Saccharomyces cerevisiae S288C: one gene and its partners. Changing the gene in region 3 together with the main gene of any one other region gives a genetic interaction. Each region holds a gene or a part of one and is shown on either strand. Other genes may lie near its edges.

Region 1 (6,586 bases), on a different chromosome or scaffold from region 3:
CTCAAATAACCTATGTTTATATGCTTTTCAGGAATCTCCGTTTAGTTGAAGATAGTTTCAAAAAAACCCTCAAAAAACTAATTTACACCTTGTCTAGGTTTTCAATAAATGCAAATATTTGGTTTCATTCCACATTGTTTGAAGAAAGAGAAGCCATAGCCTCCCAGAAGGATCCAGAAAGAAGATCCCCTCTTCTACAGTCAATCCTAGGAACCTTCCAAAAATTTCATTTTCTACTGCGTTTACTACATTTCCTCTCAAATCCTAACGAACTTACAATACTGCCTCAATTGACTCCTCGATTTTTCAAGGATTCTTTCAATACAATTTCATGGAATAACCCGTTTTTGCGTAAGCGTCTCAACCAGCATATGTCCCATGACCTACCGAGACAGATGATTAAAGCCGTTGCTGGTGCTTCAGGAATTGTTGCGGAAAATATTGATGAAATTCCAGCTTCCAAACAGGGCACTTCATGCTCGTCAGAAACGTCTCACCATTCACCATCAGCCCCGTTTCAAAGAAGGAGAAGAGGTACCATTTTCTCTAATGTGTCAGGAAGTTCCGATGAGTCTGACACCATATGGTCCAAAAGGAAAAAACCATACCCGCTAAATGAAGAAACTCTAAGCCTTGTAAGGGCCAGGAAGAAGCAGCTTGATGGTAAACTAAAACAAATGATCAAAAGTGCTAATGAATATCTCAGTAACACGGCTAATTTTTCAAAAATGTTGAATTTTGAAATGAATTTCAAAACCTACGAAGAAGTAAGCGGAACAATTCCTATAATTGATATTCTGGAAAACCTAGATTTAACTATTTTTCTAAACTTGAGAGAGTTGGGAGATGAGAATAGAGTTTTTGACGAAGATGTCGCTATTGATGATGAAGATGAAGAGTTTTTGAAACATTCTTTATCATCCCTATCGTATATCTTATCCGACTATTTTAATATGAAGCAATATTTTCATGATGTAGTAGTGAAATTTATAATTGTCGCCCAGCATTTGACATTAGAGGATCCTTTCGTTTTCTCGCCAATGCAAAACGACTTGCCTACCGGTTATTATGAACCAATGAAACCTTCATCCTTGAATTTAGATAATGCCAAGGATAAGAAGAATGGGAGCCAAAATACTGATATCCAAGAGGAGGAAGATGAATATGAGCCAGACCCGGATAGTCTTATTCTCTTCCACAACCTCATCAATCAAGATTCTGATTTCAATGATTTAAAGTTTTTTAATCTCGCCCACGTTTTTAAAAAATCCTGTGATGACTATTTTGATGTGCTTAAACTAGCCATTGAGTTCGTGAATCAATTAATTCTAGAAAGAGAGAATTTGTTAAATTATGCTGCTAGAATGATGAAAAACAATATCACGGAATTGCTATTGCGCGGGGAAGAAGGCTATGGGTCCTATGACGGCGGTGAAACTGCCGAAAAAAGTGACACGAATGCTGTTTATGCAGATTCAGATACTAAAGACAATGACGAATGGCGTGACAGCCAAGTCAAATTACCGAGGTATTTGCAGCGCGAGTATGACAGTGAACTGATTTGGGGCTCTAACAATAGGATTAAAGGTGGTTCTAAACACGCACTGATCTCTTACTTGACAGATAATGAAAAGAAGGATCTATTTTTCGATATTACTTTTTTAATCACTTTCAGAAGCATCTTTACTACAACGGAGTTTTTAAGCTACTTGATTTCGCAATATAATTTGGATCCACCAGAGGATTTGTGCTTTGAAGAATACAATGAATGGGTGACGAAAAAGCTTATACCGGTTAAATGTAGGGTGGTTGAGATTATGACAACCTTTTTCAAGCAATATTGGTTCCTGGGCTATGATGAGCCCGATCTTGCGACCCTAAATCTGGATTATTTTGCGCAAGTAGCAATCAAGGAAAATATAACAGGATCTGTGGAATTACTAAAGGAGGTCAATCAGAAGTTTAAACATGGTAATATACAAGAAGCGACTGCACCAATGAAAACGTTAGATCAACAGATCTGCCAGGACCATTACTCGGGCACTTTATACTCTACCACGGAATCCATTTTGGCCGTCGATCCAGTTTTATTTGCCACTCAATTAACGATACTAGAGCATGAAATTTATTGTGAGATAACCATTTTTGATTGTTTACAAAAAATTTGGAAGAACAAGTATACAAAATCGTATGGGGCTTCACCGGGTTTGAACGAGTTTATCAGTTTTGCCAATAAACTGACAAATTTCATATCCTACTCTGTTGTAAAGGAGGCTGATAAAAGTAAGCGCGCCAAGCTACTCTCTCATTTTATTTTTATCGCAGAATATTGTAGGAAATTCAATAACTTTTCTTCCATGACTGCAATCATTTCAGCATTATATTCTTCACCAATTTATCGTTTAGAGAAAACCTGGCAGGCAGTTATTCCTCAAACGAGAGATCTATTGCAGTCACTGAACAAGTTGATGGATCCCAAGAAAAATTTCATAAATTACAGAAACGAGCTGAAATCTTTACATAGCGCTCCCTGCGTACCGTTTTTCGGCGTTTATTTATCTGATCTAACCTTTACTGATTCCGGAAATCCGGATTATCTTGTCTTGGAACATGGTTTAAAGGGTGTCCATGATGAGAAGAAATATATAAACTTCAACAAAAGGAGCAGACTTGTTGATATCTTACAAGAGATCATATATTTCAAGAAAACACATTATGATTTCACTAAAGATCGGACGGTAATTGAATGTATATCAAATTCATTGGAAAACATCCCCCATATTGAGAAACAATACCAATTATCATTAATTATTGAACCAAAACCAAGAAAGAAAGTCGTTCCGAATTCCAATTCGAATAATAAATCACAAGAAAAATCCAGGGATGACCAAACCGATGAAGGAAAAACATCCACTAAGAAAGACAGATTTCCAAAATTTCAATTACATAAGACAAAGAAAAAAGCTCCCAAGGTTTCTAAGTAACGGCGCCGTATGTTCGATTTCCTTCTCTCGGTGGATTAATTATTTTGTTTGTTTTCTCCTGTTATATTATTTATTGATCACTATAGTAAACTATGTCCGTCATCAAGCCCGACGGCTGCTATCCCACAATGTTGATCGTATTGTTTGCCTAGTTTATTATATATTTGCTTATTTATAGCATACCATAATATTTAAATGCCCTCAAATTTTTGGCCGTAGCGACATCGCGATAATTCCAATTCCCTTTAAAAAATTGCGCCTGAGTATAAGTTAATTCAGCCAGTTCTCCAAATTAAAATCGCATACTCCTGAACCTATCAACAGATTGTCCTCGCATACTTTTCTATACCAAGGTCTCTTCTGAACATATATTAGCAGTGGTTAATTTTAAAGAGATCATAAAGAAAATTTTGTCTAAAAAAGATTAATATAAAGACAATGTCTTCACTAGAAGTGGTAGATGGGTGCCCCTATGGATACCGACCATATCCAGATAGTGGCACAAATGCATTAAATCCATGTTTTATATCAGTAATATCCGCCTGGCAAGCCGTCTTTTTCCTATTGATTGGTAGCTATCAATTGTGGAAACTTTATAAGAACAATAAAGTACCACCCAGATTTAAGAACTTTCCTACATTACCAAGTAAAATCAACAGTCGACATCTAACGCATTTGACCAATGTTTGCTTTCAGTCCACGCTTATAATTTGTGAACTGGCCTTGGTATCCCAATCTAGCGATAGGGTTTATCCATTTATACTAAAGAAGGCTCTGTACTTGAATCTCCTTTTCAATTTGGGTATTTCTCTCCCTACTCAATACTTAGCTTATTTTAAAAGTACATTTTCAATGGGCAACCAGCTTTTCTATTACATGTTTCAAATTCTTCTACAGCTCTTCTTGATATTGCAGAGGTACTATCATGGTTCTAGTAACGAAAGGCTTACTGTTATTAGCGGACAAACTGCTATGATTTTAGAAGTGCTCCTTCTTTTCAATTCTGTGGCAATTTTTATTTATGATCTATGCATTTTTGAGCCAATTAACGAATTATCTGAATACTACAAGAAAAATGGGTGGTATCCCCCCGTTCATGTACTATCCTATATTACATTTATCTGGATGAACAAACTGATTGTGGAAACTTACCGTAACAAGAAAATCAAAGATCCTAACCAGTTACCATTGCCGCCAGTAGATCTGAATATTAAGTCGATAAGTAAGGAATTTAAGGCTAACTGGGAATTGGAAAAATGGTTGAATAGAAATTCTCTTTGGAGGGCCATTTGGAAGTCATTTGGTAGGACTATTTCTGTGGCTATGCTGTATGAAACGACATCTGATTTACTTTCTGTAGTACAGCCCCAGTTTCTACGGATATTCATAGATGGTTTGAACCCGGAAACATCTTCTAAATATCCTCCTTTAAATGGTGTATTTATTGCTCTAACCCTTTTCGTAATCAGCGTGGTTTCTGTGTTCCTCACCAATCAATTTTATATTGGAATTTTTGAGGCTGGTTTGGGGATAAGAGGCTCTTTAGCTTCTTTAGTGTATCAGAAGTCCTTAAGATTGACGCTAGCAGAGCGTAACGAAAAATCTACTGGTGACATCTTAAATTTGATGTCTGTGGATGTGTTAAGGATCCAGCGGTTTTTCGAAAATGCCCAAACCATTATTGGCGCTCCTATTCAGATTATTGTTGTATTAACTTCCCTGTACTGGTTGCTAGGAAAGGCTGTTATTGGAGGGTTGGTTACTATGGCTATTATGATGCCTATCAATGCCTTCTTATCTAGAAAGGTAAAAAAGCTATCAAAAACTCAAATGAAGTATAAGGACATGAGAATCAAGACTATTACAGAGCTTTTGAATGCTATAAAATCTATTAAATTATACGCCTGGGAGGAACCTATGATGGCAAGATTGAATCATGTTCGTAATGATATGGAGTTGAAAAATTTTCGGAAAATTGGTATAGTGAGCAATCTGATATATTTTGCGTGGAATTGTGTACCTTTAATGGTGACATGTTCCACATTTGGCTTATTTTCTTTATTTAGTGATTCTCCGTTATCTCCTGCCATTGTCTTCCCTTCATTATCTTTATTTAATATTTTGAACAGTGCCATCTATTCCGTTCCATCCATGATAAATACCATTATAGAGACAAGCGTTTCTATGGAAAGATTAAAGTCATTCCTACTTAGTGACGAAATTGATGATTCGTTCATCGAACGTATTGATCCTTCAGCGGATGAAAGAGCGTTACCTGCTATAGAGATGAATAATATTACATTTTTATGGAAATCAAAAGAAGTATTAACATCTAGCCAATCTGGAGATAATTTGAGGACAGATGAAGAGTCTATTATCGGATCTTCTCAAATTGCGTTGAAGAATATCGATCATTTTGAAGCAAAAAGGGGTGATTTAGTTTGTGTTGTTGGTCGGGTAGGAGCTGGTAAATCAACATTTTTGAAGGCAATTCTTGGTCAACTTCCTTGCATGAGTGGTTCTAGGGACTCGATACCACCTAAACTGATCATTAGATCATCGTCTGTAGCCTACTGTTCACAAGAATCCTGGATAATGAACGCATCTGTAAGAGAAAACATTCTATTTGGTCACAAGTTCGACCAAGATTATTATGACCTCACTATTAAAGCATGTCAATTGCTACCCGATTTGAAAATACTACCAGATGGTGATGAAACTTTGGTAGGTGAAAAGGGCATTTCCCTATCAGGCGGTCAGAAGGCCCGTCTTTCATTAGCCAGAGCGGTGTACTCGAGAGCAGATATTTATTTGTTGGATGACATTTTATCTGCTGTTGATGCAGAAGTTAGTAAAAATATTATTGAATATGTTTTGATCGGAAAGACGGCTTTATTAAAAAATAAAACAATTATTTTAACTACCAATACTGTATCAATTTTAAAACATTCGCAGATGATATATGCGCTAGAAAACGGTGAAATTGTTGAACAAGGGAATTATGAGGATGTAATGAACCGTAAGAACAATACTTCAAAACTGAAAAAATTACTAGAGGAATTTGATTCTCCGATTGATAATGGAAATGAAAGCGATGTCCAAACTGAACACCGATCCGAAAGTGAAGTGGATGAACCTCTGCAGCTTAAAGTAACTGAATCAGAAACTGAGGATGAGGTTGTTACTGAGAGTGAATTAGAACTAATCAAAGCCAATTCTAGAAGAGCTTCTCTAGCTACGCTAAGACCTAGACCCTTTGTGGGAGCACAATTGGATTCCGTGAAGAAAACGGCGCAAAAGGCCGAGAAGACAGAGGTGGGAAGAGTCAAAACAAAGATTTATCTTGCGTATATTAAGGCTTGTGGAGTTTTAGGTGTTGTTTTATTTTTCTTGTTTATGATATTAACAAGGGTTTTCGACTTAGCAGAGAATTTTTGGTTAAAGTACTGGTCAGAATCTAATGAAAAAAATGGTTCAAATGAAAGGGTTTGGATGTTTGTTGGTGTGTATTCCTTAATCGGAGTAGCATCGGCCGCATTCAATAATTTACGGAGTATTATGATGCTACTGTATTGTTCTATTAGGGGTTCTAAGAAACTGCA
Region 2 (6,586 bases), on a different chromosome or scaffold from region 3:
ATACATTCGAAAGCTTATACAATGGTGTTCTAAACATCGGATTGATAGCGGAGAATGGTGCCTACGTAAGAGTTAATGGGTCGTGGTACAACATCGTGGAAGAGCTTGATTGGATGAAAGAGGTGGCAAAGATCTTTGACGAGAAAGTCGAGAGGTTACCTGGTTCATACTACAAAATCGCTGATTCTATGATCAGATTCCATACAGAAAACGCTGATGATCAAGATCGAGTCCCAACTGTTATTGGGGAAGCCATTACGCACATAAACACCTTATTTGATGACAGGGATATTCACGCTTATGTGCATAAGGATATTGTCTTCGTTCAACAAACGGGGCTAGCCTTAGCCGCCGCTGAGTTTTTGATGAAATTTTACAACAGTGGCGTCAGTCCTACTGACAATAGCAGAATATCTCTATCAAGAACATCCTCTTCGATGTCCGTCGGTAATAATAAGAAGCATTTCCAAAACCAGGTAGATTTCGTTTGCGTTTCCGGTTCGACATCACCTATTATTGAACCATTATTTAAATTAGTGAAGCAAGAGGTTGAAAAGAACAATCTAAAATTTGGTTACACCATTCTTTACGGTAGCTCAAGATCCACTTATGCCAAGGAACATATCAATGGTGTCAATGAACTTTTTACCATCCTTCATGACTTGACAGCCGCCTAAGCGATCATTTTCCCTCCTGTACTTTCAAAATGTTCTCTTTCTTATTCTTCAGTTATAGTTTTTACGAGCGATTATAAATATAAAAGTACGATCTTCCTTTTACGTATATATGTATATACAGCACGATAAATTACAAACAAGTTTCAACTAACAATGTGGGTTATTTCTCATATTGTTAATGAGATCTTATAATAATCATTATACACGAACGCTATTTTTCACTTTTTTTTCATTTTTGTTTTCGCCGCAAGAAGTAATAGTGAAAAATTGAAAAAAGCTTCAATTTTAGTTTGCTGAAAGAAACCTTTACTTATGTAGAAGGTGTACTTGCAAAAGCACTAGTGTAATATAGAGCAAAGTTCATCATGGGTAAGAAAAACACTAAAGGTGGTAAAAAAGGTAGAAGAGGTAAGAACGACTCTGACGGTCCAAAGCGTGAACTTATTTATAAGGAAGAAGGCCAAGAATATGCTCAAATCACCAAGATGTTGGGTAATGGAAGAGTCGAAGCCAGTTGCTTTGATGGTAATAAGAGAATGGCCCATATTAGAGGTAAGTTAAGAAAGAAAGTCTGGATGGGACAAGGTGATATTATTCTTGTTTCCTTAAGAGATTTCCAAGATGACCAATGTGATGTTGTCCACAAATATAATTTAGATGAAGCCAGAACACTGAAAAACCAAGGTGAACTTCCTGAAAACGCCAAAATTAATGAAACAGACAACTTTGGTTTCGAATCTGATGAAGACGTTAACTTTGAATTTGGTAACGCTGATGAAGATGATGAGGAAGGTGAAGATGAAGAACTTGATATTGATGACATTTAATTTAGGCCGAACAAGTGTCCTCAATATCTTCTAATGCGTCAACTATTCATAATTTATTTATAATTATATTTTTTAGTCCATCATAGGAAAGGGTTTTCTTTTTACTATATCGAAATACTTATATATAGATATCAAAAAAAGAATAAAAATGAAATACCTCAAGAAGTCGTTTAATCTTCCTTCTAGGGTTTCTTTCAAGCGGACGTTAAGGAGACGTAATAAAAATTTTCTCGCACGAGAAATTTGAGCAAAGAGCACGTTGCGAATACGTTTTATCCATTCATCGTTTTTAATTTATTACCTTTTCTTTCGATGCTGTTTATTGTCACTCATGAGTGCTTCCGTTTTTTCCATCGAAAATTTACTTTTTTAGACTGAAAAGAAAATGAAAAGTTAAAATAAATTTTTACCAGAAAATGCTCATCGCAGGAAAATGACAATACTATTGTGAGCTTCCCGAGGTACACATTACTTCATACTGAAAGTTTCAAAAAATGACTACGGATGTGCAATTTTCAAGTCAGGAAATCGAGCTTTTCCGTGTCAAAGAATTCTTGATTGCTAATAATCCAGCAAAGATCAACAATGAAAATAAGGATGCTGTTTTAACTCAGATTGAGCATGATTTCAGGTATTTAATACAGTATATCAAGGACGGATTACCGAACTTAAATGAGTCCACAAGGTTAATTTTTCCAGATACCTTTTCGATCTGTTTACTAAGGAGCCATCAAATAATTGCAAGCAAAAAAATTGACTCTCAAGAATTTTTATCGGCGGTAAAAGAGCAACTCTTAACTGAAGCGAATGCAAATATTATCTTTGAATATGTTCTTGACTTTTGGGCTGATGGTGGAGCCCCACTGATGAATGCCTTGAGAGATTTATTCAGTAAACTACTGAACTTATTGAAAATCACATATCCTATGTCAACCTTGAAGGATGTTTTATTTAATTGGATGAATGAAATATTAGAAGTACCATCTACGTTGCGTGTTCAGTATTACTTGATTGATGCCCTTTCTTCTGATTTTGACCTTTATTATATTATAGAAAAAAAGCCTCATTTCATCGATAACTCTTTTTCATTAATGAACTCTGATTTGCTAGCAAATTCGGTAGGTAAATGCATTGTTAGTTTGCTGTTAAACATTTACGAAAAGCATTTCAAAAAGAACGAGTCTTTTGTACAAGAATGGATACAATTATGGAAAAGTTGTGCTTTAAAGTACATTCACGACAAACAATACACCAAATCCATTAATCTGTATATTATGATTCCATTATTCAAAAATATGCCAAACTCGGCCTTCACACTTTTCCTAGAATGTATGTCTAACAAAGACCCATCACTTTTGCTCTCACTTTTAAAGATTGGCCAAGAATTGGGGATTGAAGAAGAACCATTTTGTGATAATAAATATACCACTGTAGATTCTGTTAACAAACTCATAGAGCAAGATGAGTATAAACTTCAGGTATTTGAAATACTGACCTTTTCGACAAAAAAGTCAAAGCCTATTCGTCCCTTCGTCTTCAAAACTATAAAACAGTACCTATATGTGTTCTTCGTGGACACTGAACTTGAACGCAGAAATTACTTTTGCAGTTCGATGAAACACTTTATATTTAGAACCAGAGACTGCGCATACTCTTTAGCTAGGGATGCCAGAAAGCTTAAAAAGGCTGAGAAATTTCCGGACGAACAGAGGGAAAAGTTGGCGCAAGTTGAGGAGGCTAGAGCCTTTTTGGTTTGGCTATGCAATTTTATAAAATATAATTTGGCCCCTGGTACTTTATATCAGGCGAACGTGACCTCATTAAAACTTATGCACATTCTGATCAAGTCTGGTGTTGATAAATCTACTCCACAAAAATTTTTAGACAACCAAAATAAGAGGGAATATCCTTTTTCTATCCCAATTTTACAGGATGTCACATTTTTAAGGTTGCTCATTGACCTTTTGGTTAGTAATTATGCTGACGTGCGCGAATTATCTAAAGAAATGCTATTTATAATGATAAGCGCTGATGAATCTAGAGGTCTTTTTTTGGATACCTTAGACGCAAATGCTTTGAAGTGGACTGCAACCTCTCTTTTAAGTGACTATGAGAAAGGTGATGCTGGAGCTACCGTATATGAGTTCATATTCACAGTCATGGGCTCTCAAAGAAGCTTCATTGACCAGACAATTGATATATTAGCGCAGATGGTACAAAATTTGCAAAATGACAGCATTGGTTGTGCAGAAAATTCAATCGGTCCTCACTTTGCTGCACTAAGCTTGATTTTGAATAAGTTTAACTCTGAAGAAAACCATCAAGATACTTCAAAAATAATCTCAAAATTAATAAATCTTGTACTCAAGAGCTGGGAAGCAACGAGAAATGTAGTGTGTCATGATTCTGCCCATGGAATACTACCTGAAAAATATGCTAATTGTGGTGTACCGGACCAAGTTATAATAAGTCACGCATTTAGGGCGATAAAAGAAGCATCATATTTACTTGAAACAATATTAAAAAAATACCCTTTAACAAGAGATCAATTAGACAGTATCGGCGATCTTTTTATTGTTCAGCTTTCTACTATTCGTCATAGTGGCGCCTTCCAAGCCGTTTTACCGGGGCTAAAGGCATTTTGTATTCGTTGTCAACTTGAATTTCCCGCTATTCTGGAAGAACTTTTAAGCAAGAGTGTAAAATCTTTAAAATCCAAAACTCAACATATTACAAGAAGGTCAGGAGGCTTGCCTTTCTTGGTCACAACCGTCTTAAGTGCAGAAGTTACCAAAGGGAGACCTTTGTTACAAAAAACTTTTGAAAACTTACTACTCGTTGCAAGGTTACCAATTCCTCCCCATCAAGATGAGTTTGATTTACCACAGGTTAATGCTATTAATTGTATAAACGCAATCTTTGTTGAACCGAAGCTCTCTGTACACTGTACGTCATTTGTCTCAGAGGCATTAGAACTAGCTTTATTGAATTTCGACTGTGATATATGGGCTCTAAGAAACTGTTCTATCATGCTGTTTACCTCCTTGCAAAATAGAATTTTTGGAAAAGTGGGCAGAAGCGTTAGTGCAAAATTATTCTTTACCAAATATTCTGGCTTGAGGCAACTGCTTTTGAATATTCTAAACAGTTCTATTGCTCAATATTCGGGAAGTGAAAGAAAATCATATCAAATTGAAAGCATTTTCTTGGTCCTTAATGTGCTACTGAGGTTACGGCCTACAGCTGGCTATACTGGTCTAAAAGAATTCAACGTTTCTGTTTATGAATGTTTATCAAATGAGAACTGGAAGATCAGAGATATGGCCTCTAGAGTATTGCATATGCTGTCGGAAAATTTTGAAGAAGAGATAAGAAAATTACTTGACTTGGCTTCTATCGCGAAGCAAAACCAGTTACATGGACACTTACTAGCACTCCAACAACTAGTACCACAATACCTTTCAGGAACTAGAGATATGGAGTTGATTCAAAGGATACTTGAAAAGAAAAGGATGCTTCTACTAGAGAACAAGTGCTTTATCACTAAAAAGGCCTACTTAAAATTGACCTGCTGTATATTGGAAACATGCGACATACCTGATTCTATTTTAAAAGATTATATCAGCACTTTGCGGAACACATTTATTGCTGAAAATAACGAATATGTTGTGGATGGTAGCAAACAGCTATATCTTGCACAAATCTTAGACATGCTCTTAAAATATGAGGATAGTATATATCTCGATGATATTTGCTTATTAGGATTGTATTCTCCATTTTATGAGGCTCAGCTCAGTACACTACAGTACATGAATACTAACTTTCACTGGGAAACTACAAGAAACTCAGAATTTCTTGAACAACTACAATTATTACTCAGGGTTCCAGATTTGCTGCCTATGGCTAAAGCTTTAGTAGTGAAAATTCTCTCAAGAAAAAAGAATACTTTATCCCTGACGACCTGCACTGATCTCCTAAAAACAAATAATAGTGAAGATACAAAACTTGCTGCCGTTTCATCACTAAGTGCTAAATTGTCTTCGCAAACCTTTCACCAGGTATGGAACTTGTTACAAGGATTTTTCGCCGATTCTTGTTCAAAAGATTTTAGATTGGCATCTTTAGAATGTTTAACTGCTTATCCAGAAAGTTGTAAGAACTCCAGAATACTATTACAACTGTACAACTTCTTATGGGACGATGATTCTGAAATAAGAGAAAAGGCTTCTTTTTATTTGAATAAGAACTTTATTCAAACTGCAGACTGGGAATATAACAGGAACACCAGTGTGACCGCTCTTATATTCACAAAAAAGTTTGTTGACGTATTCACAAGTTCTGAGGTGGTAGAAGAGTTGTGTTTACAGTTGTTTCAATATCTAAATGAATATGATATGTTTGCTGCCGAAGAATCGGCGAAGAATTGTCTATTTACTATAGAAAAGGATAACCAGTTCATCAACGAACTACAAAAGGCAATGCATATATTAAATATGATAAAATTGACTGGAAGGGATATCTCAAAGTGTTACAAAGACCAGATACATCACCTAAAAAGTGCTCTATTGGAGCACTTCAACACCGAGGATTTTAAAGATTCCCCACTCGGCTGGTGCTCTAATGCTGAAATATTTTCAAGAATAACGCTTTTAAAGGAACTGATTCAACATTATTCTCCTTCTGATTATGAGAATTTTATCAATGTTCTGACTAAACATTCTGTTCATCCCCTAATTATCAGTTATTCCCAATTATAAATAATGAATATGTACAGATATATACTTTGCATATAATCTGATTCATCTCTAACCTACTTGTGGATTTAGTGACGAGATTCATTGTGGAACCTATTACAAAGCATGTCGATTTCTATTCTAAATACAATGATGGAACTTGATTTAATTTCTTTACCGTTGTCATTTTCTTTTGAATTTTTTCCACCTCTTTTTTTGTTGAAAAATGTTCATGGATGGAAAATTAAAGGTGTGCCCTATTACAAAAGCAAGTTGTACCCCTTTACTAACTCTCTAGTCAATTTGAACTATTGTGAAAACGACAGTTGTGCTCACATGATATAACAAA
Region 3 (6,586 bases):
CAGCAACCTTCTCTTTCCACTTGTTGCTAGTTTCCAGCGAATGAATCAAATGAGGTAAGAGTGCTTTAACGGCAACCGGGTTAACAGCACTAGCGATGGCTTTGAGGGCCTTTGTTGCCGCAAGTTGAACATCATTATCTTTACTACCAGCTTTACTGCATACAGAAGGGACCGTCGCAACTATGTACGGTTCAACAGAAGGTGATAGATTAGTTTCATTTGCTATGTAAGCCACCGCACCCAGCGTGTTGAGCGCCTTTTGTTTACTCTGGATAGCTTTTTGAAATTCATCAAAAAAAACTTCGGGAACGTCATGCTCGATGATGTTCCCGTTTAAAAATGAGGAAAGCTCCGAAGAAATACCCTCTCTTGTTTCTGAAGTAGCAGTTTCCAACTTTCGGAAAAGCTCTTCTAGAACGGTGATTGATTGTTGTGAATCTGACATTTTGTGATTCCTTTTTTTTATTTATTTTTGGTTTAAAAGGCTCTTTTTTTGCACCACACTATCTACCCTTCTCTATTAGATTGAAAAGAAGAAGGAATTTCTGGCGCAAAAGTAACTGGAGAGGAGGACAAAAGATATATATATATATATATTTAAATGGATATATATATATGCACATATATATTATCCAGAAAAGTAAAGCAAAATGTGAATGGAAAAGAGAAAGAAGAAAGAAACAAGTGGAGAAAAAACTCAAATTGTTAGAAGAATATACCCATTAATAGCGGAAATCAAGGCTATTCTTTTGTGCAAGCGCATCGCTCCCCTAAAAGACATCCAGCCGCGCAATGCACGGGCCGCGACCTTGAAAATTTAAAAGACCACTTCCTCAACACAGTTTAGCTCTGTTAATGACAAGGCAAGGAAAGCAAGATGACCAGAAAAAGAAAGTCCCGAGACACATCTTAGATGCCAAAGAAATGGCGCCACAGCAGTTATAAAAGAGCGTTAAAATTGAACAGGAGCAACGATTTAGACTGTCATAAATATATTCGTATATATATATGTATATATATATATATATATATATATATATATAGGACGTGCTCTGCTGTTTTTTGGTGAATTATTATAGTAGACGAGAAATAAATTTACAATCGGGGAGAGAAAATTTCCGAGTAAAAAAGTGTTTGCGTTTATCTCAGGAATCAATTTGTATGAACTTCTTTGTCTTCTTCGACGTTCTCGATGACATCATTGTGCTTTTCCTTCAACTTGTTCAAGTGGAGAACATCTGGTACCTTGATGGTGTACCCTTTAATGATGTCGAATTCGTGTACAATAGAGCCACCTGCGTGATGAACTGAATCCAAGAACTTCTTAGCTTCCACATCTGGAGTGTTCTTTTTCAAAGTGACGATGAAATTCTTTGTCATTATGGACCTTGTTTTTTGTTTGTATATTTAAGATTACCTTCTGGTTACCGTTCAATTGGTCTAAACGGAATCTCTGCACCTAACATAATGAAGCCAGAATTTTTTATATGTGCCATATATATTGCATTGAAAGAAGTTCCCGATGCTCTGATATGCCCCCTTTTTCCCGCCCCATTTTATTTTTTGGGCTATGCAAGATAAAGAAAGACCAAGAGCTCGGGGATGCGTGGTATTGGTCCGTTTCCTTTTGGGAAAGATGCCAGCCACAACCTGCCACGTACGCGATTCGAAATGATTCGGGCGTGCATATGAAGCTCTTGGAAAAAAAATAAGGGCTGGATAGAGGGAAAGGAGGTGTTTGGCAGACGAAGTAATATCATCTAGGTTTTTGATATTTGGCGTCGCGACTTTTTGGTTGTCATTTTCACAACCTTTCCCTAAAGAAAGAAAAGTCCTGTGGAACCAGCCGGGTTCCTGTTAAGCTGCCTTTTTTTTGGTCTTAACAGCCATTCTTTTGTTCGAAACACAGTTCCGTACTTAATGAGAACGTTGGAGCAGCGTCACGGGTGCGCAGTGGTAGTGGCTGTTGCCTTTATGTGCCTGGACTCAAGACTGACATGTCTCCATAACGCTAGGTAGCATTTTTATATACTTAACAAAAGTTGTAAAAAATAAAAACAAAAATTATATATATGGACTCGACAAAATACAGTGGGATGGATGTTTAAAAAAAATAGGGTAAGAAAGGAAAAAGGAAATATAATAAAGAAAGCCTTCAGAAAATACGTTCTTTATTTTTATCACACTATTAGCAATGACTTTCACATTTTAAAGGAAAATAATAGTATTAAAAATTAAACAGTGACGAAGGAAGGAAATAAGACACAGAAAAACTAAAAAAATAGAGTAAGTTTATAGGCCCTTTTATTTTTCGAGCAATAGTAAATTGAGTTTCTTCTTCTTTTTCTCTCCCTTTTTCGTAGTAATTTTTTTTTTAAAAATAGTATAATATAATGAATGGATTCTTGTCGTTCTTTTTTTATTTTATCTTGGGATTTGTAGGTTGCCTCTCTTTATTCTTTCTTTTTGTTTCATTCCACTTTTCTTCATAATATTTATTGTTGTTGCTGCTGTTGCTGCTGTTGCTGTTGTTGCTCAGACATAACCGGTTGTTGTTGGTCATTCATTATAAGTGGCTGACCGCCCTGTTGCTGCTGCTGTGGCATAAAATTTGATCTTTCCTTACCCCAACCGGTTCTCAAGTTTCTGCCTTGAAATGGGAAGTTTGCCAAGGCAACAATACAAACAGCGGCCTGTTCATGAGTGTCATACTTTATGAAGCAACAGCCCTTTTCTGGATAGTGCTTGAAATCTAAAATAAAACCGAAGTTCTGGAACAACGGAATTAAATCAGCTTCAGTGGCAAAGTGCGGAATATTACCGATATAGGCAGTAGTAACTCTTGGTGGGGCACTTCTAATGATGTGGTCAACAGCTTGAGGATTTACTTGAGGAGGTAAACCAATGGTCTGGGATTGTTGGGGTTGGCCTTGAGATGGTAATGGCATGGCGCCAATTGGCATTCCCATTGAACTTGGTGGCATGCCCCTGCTGTTGTTCATATTCATATTCATGTTCATATTCATCCCCATATTCATGTTGTTATTGTTGTTACTGTTATATTGACGGAAACCACCACGGTTGTTGTTACCGTAGTTACGACGCTGTTGATAATTATTATTGTTATTGTTATCACGCTTAGCAGCCCAGTTGATTCTTAGCGGTCTACCATTCAAATCTTGACCTTGCATGCTGTCCATGGCATTTTGTGCATCATCTTGAGAAGTAAAGGAAACAAAACCGTAACCTCTTGAACTACCAGTTTGCATGTCCCACATAACATGACCACTCAAGTAGGATGGGAAGTCTTTGAAGGCATTCCTTAAAGTTTCGTCATCAACATTAACATTCAAATCACCGACAAACAAGTTAAATGTATCATCGGAGGAACTCTGTTGGGATTGGAAGGCCCAGTTGATTTTGACAATGTTGTTTTCAATTTGTTTGCCGTTCAATGTTTGTAAGGCAATATTGGCATCGTGAGATTGATGGTATTCAACAAAAGCGTAATTGACGTTCTTATTATTCTTATCGATCATGATTTTGATGTTAGCAATTGGTCCGCCAACTTGGAAATATTGCTTTAAAATGTCTTCGGTGATAGCTTTGTCTAGGTTACCAACATATAAAACTCTATCGGAAGTTTCCCTACCACCGGTAATAGCATTAGCAGGAACTACGGAAGGATCATTTTCACCCTGATTGTCTTCAGCTTGTTCAGAATTGCCTTCGACAGCGACGCTCTGTTCAGAAGAAGGATCTGCTGATGCTGGAGCTTCAACTGCCGAGGGAGTTTCGACGGCAACAGGTTGCTGTTGTTGTTGTTGTTGATGTTGTTCTTCGTTATTTTCAGACATTGGAATCGAACAAAGAGTAGATGTGGTAATCTTCTTATTATGAACCTGCTATTAAGATGATAGAAGGGAAGATTAAACTCTAACTTAAAGCACGAAATGGAAACAGTAGATATTATGAAAATAACTGCAGAGTAGAAAAAAGGAAAGGCATGCTTTACCGTAGTTGAATGATTATTACGAGAGGAAAATGAAGGACAAGGAAAGACGGCCAACGATGAAAAAAAAAAATTGAAAAATTACAACAAAAAAGAAGCGAAGGCAAAAAAAGTTGAAAAAAGTACGAAGTGAAAATACGTAAAGAATTATGTTACAAAATGATGAAAAGAGAACGAGTAAATATTCTCTTTGAATTAATTAGTATACGTTAGGATAATTAATCTTCAGAGGTTTAGTAAGAACATTGTGCTTACAACCGCAACGCGTAAACCTTATGCTAACAAGCCTCTTCGTTCACCTCCCTTGTAACGGCAGTGGGAAGGGTAAGCAAAATAAATCACATTGCGAGAAATGTAAAAAAAGAATGGTCTCTAGCGGGATCGAACCGCTGATCCCCGCGTTATTAGCACGGTGCCTTAACCAACTGGGCCAAGAGACCATTGTTATCTGTTTTTCACCCTCCCTCCACACTATCAAACCAACGTCACAAATGTGTGCCAGAACCACCGCTCATTATCTCTGTGCCACAAAAATCAACTTACACTGTCATTCGAATTTCCGGCAAACTCCGACTGAGAAATGTTCGTACTACTTCCTTTCTAGGGCACATTAAAGGAAAAACTCATTGAATGCACCCTTCACAAATCTTAATATCTCTGACCTTTGCATTGTATTAACCAAGCAACCCTCCCTGTGCAAGTAGAAGCCCTGGATCCTTTGTGGTCGTAAAATGAACAAATACCAATAAGACGAAAACAAAAACAAAAACAAAACGACATAGCAACAATGCGGAATTATTTAAGGCTGGCACTCTTTCCGCATGTTTATCACAATTATTTCCACTTTCACTTAAAACCTTGTTTAAGCTTGGCCTACACCACAGGAAAAAAAACCATCCGATCTAATCTTCAAATATCAATTTGAGGTTGAAAAAATTTGCTAAAGCGTTGGTCTAATTTTGTTTTTCGCCCACATAATGTCTACATCTTTCCAGGAGTTCAAGGCCTTCTGCAACAAGGTTGGGCTAGACTTTCAATGGCTTAATTTGCAATCCTCCAAGTCTGTTCCCGAAAACGGTTCCTCTGAAGGTTTCTCAGCCGTCAGTGATACCGTACAAGAAAACATCAGACCAGCTACGGAACCACTTAACGTCAACCAGTCCAAAGATCCTGTCAGCAACTTTTTTTATGATGTCAAGAATGCTCCACTCTGGAACGTGTATAAGAGGAATCATTCCGGTCATTCTTCTGCTGAGGCTTGTTCTGGAGTAAGTTCAAGGCAGGCGCCAAAAAACATACCCGAGGCAATGGTAAAAGAGACAGTCCTTTCTAATCACGACAATGTCACCATAATAAACGAATTACTGCCAACTTCTTCTGCCATGCATCAGGAAGAAAGCACCGCTATGACAACCTCCTACCTCTTATCCCACTCCGTAAACGATACTTGCAACGTGATGTTTTCTTCCTCCTCCCACAACCGTGCTATGCTCCCATCTTCTCTTGTGCAAAGAAATAACGCTACCACATCTCCCACAACAGACTCTGCATCAGAAAACAACGAATCGGTACCCTCACTAACCTCATCTGTTAGCACATCCTCATCAGTTTATTCGTCATGGAATCCTCCTCATTCTCCACACATATCGTCATTTCCAGACGGCAATTTCGCATCGCTTAACGCAGAAGTGACTTGCTTTGATTTCCGCCGCACCAAGGACTCCAGAACAAAAGAGACGAATGAATCTATCATTCCAACTGAAATTTACTGCCCAACAAATTCCACTGATCACCACAAACATTATCCAAGCCGAAAATCTAAACAAGATGCCTGCGCTCCTGCTCCCTGCAATCAAAATATAAGCTGCAGCGTCGTGTCCACAGCGGAATTTTCCCAGTCTAACCACACGTTGACTACTGTAGTTCCTTCATACATGCAACAGTACCTTGACAGGCCACAGAACTGGTTTGAAAGCAAAATGGGAAAATACTGTCCACTCTTTCTGAGAAGTACAAAGAACATTGACTACGATTCCCTCGAATTTAAATTTGAGCGCAAGATGATAGCTGTTCAATACCTGCTTTTAGACGAACAATCTGAGCCCAGAAGGTACTACAACCCTTCAAATAAAAGTATTCCATTCTGGAAGAGACCCTTCAACTTCGATACAATGCCCAGCTACGACCAACTTATGGAGGAAGCAGAGTGCCGTTTTTATTCATACCAATACAAATACGAAGGTTTCCAGAGGATTGAGCCCTACTCCATTTCTTGTCCCTGGAAAAACACACAAAGAGAAATAGATCTGGTTCTTGATCACATTCATTTTTCTCTCGATGTCGGCGAGAAGAAGTCTTTAAACCGAAAAGGAAACATCACTCTCGATACTTTAGACAGTAAGGTCGATCCTAACATTCAGATCAAGCCGTATCAGATTTTTCCGTCCAACAACCTAGTATACGAAGGCTTACCGCATCCCGCCGAACAATCCTTAATTTTGAGTCCTGACACCTCCCTCATTGAGAGGGCGTTTCAGGCACTGATAGACATATGCAAGGAATCCATTCCATCTT

The links.
Region 1: mutations in PUB1 (region 3) and BPT1 together harm fitness more than expected from each alone (negative genetic interaction), as found in Saccharomyces cerevisiae (2 studies listed by BioGRID).
Region 2: mutations in PUB1 (region 3) and TRM732 together harm fitness more than expected from each alone (negative genetic interaction), as found in Saccharomyces cerevisiae (2 studies listed by BioGRID).

What each region holds. Positions count from the first base shown.
Region 1 is NC_001144.5:113,010-119,595, forward strand, and holds the start of BPT1 (ATP-binding cassette bilirubin transporter BPT1), read left to right. Parts: upstream 1-3,422; coding exon 3,423-6,586. UniProt on the Saccharomyces cerevisiae protein: Cooperates for the ATP-dependent vacuolar transport of bilirubin and glutathione conjugates.
Region 2 is NC_001145.3:784,296-790,881, reverse strand, and holds TRM732 (tRNA methylation protein TRM732), read left to right. Parts: upstream 1-1,998; coding exon 1,999-6,261; downstream 6,262-6,586. Other genes in the region: TPS3 (trehalose 6-phosphate synthase/phosphatase complex subunit), read left to right, coding at 1-677; TIF11 (translation initiation complex factor eIF1A), read left to right, coding at 1,043-1,504. UniProt on the Saccharomyces cerevisiae protein: Together with methyltransferase TRM7, methylates the 2'-O-ribose of nucleotides at position 32 of the anticodon loop of substrate tRNAs.
Region 3 is NC_001146.8:600,178-606,763, reverse strand, and holds PUB1 (Pub1p), read right to left. Parts: upstream 3,858-6,586; coding exon 2,496-3,857; downstream 1-2,495. Other genes in the region: HEF3 (translation elongation factor EF-3), read right to left, coding at 1-445; PBI2 (Pbi2p), read right to left, coding at 1,153-1,380; YNL018C (uncharacterized protein), read left to right, coding at 4,990-6,586. UniProt on the Saccharomyces cerevisiae protein: May be associated with hnRNA within the nucleus and remains associated during nucleocytoplasmic mRNA transport, once the proteins are in the cytoplasm, disassembly of PUB1-RNA complexes may occur prior to PAB1 binding and formation of a translationally competent RNP complex.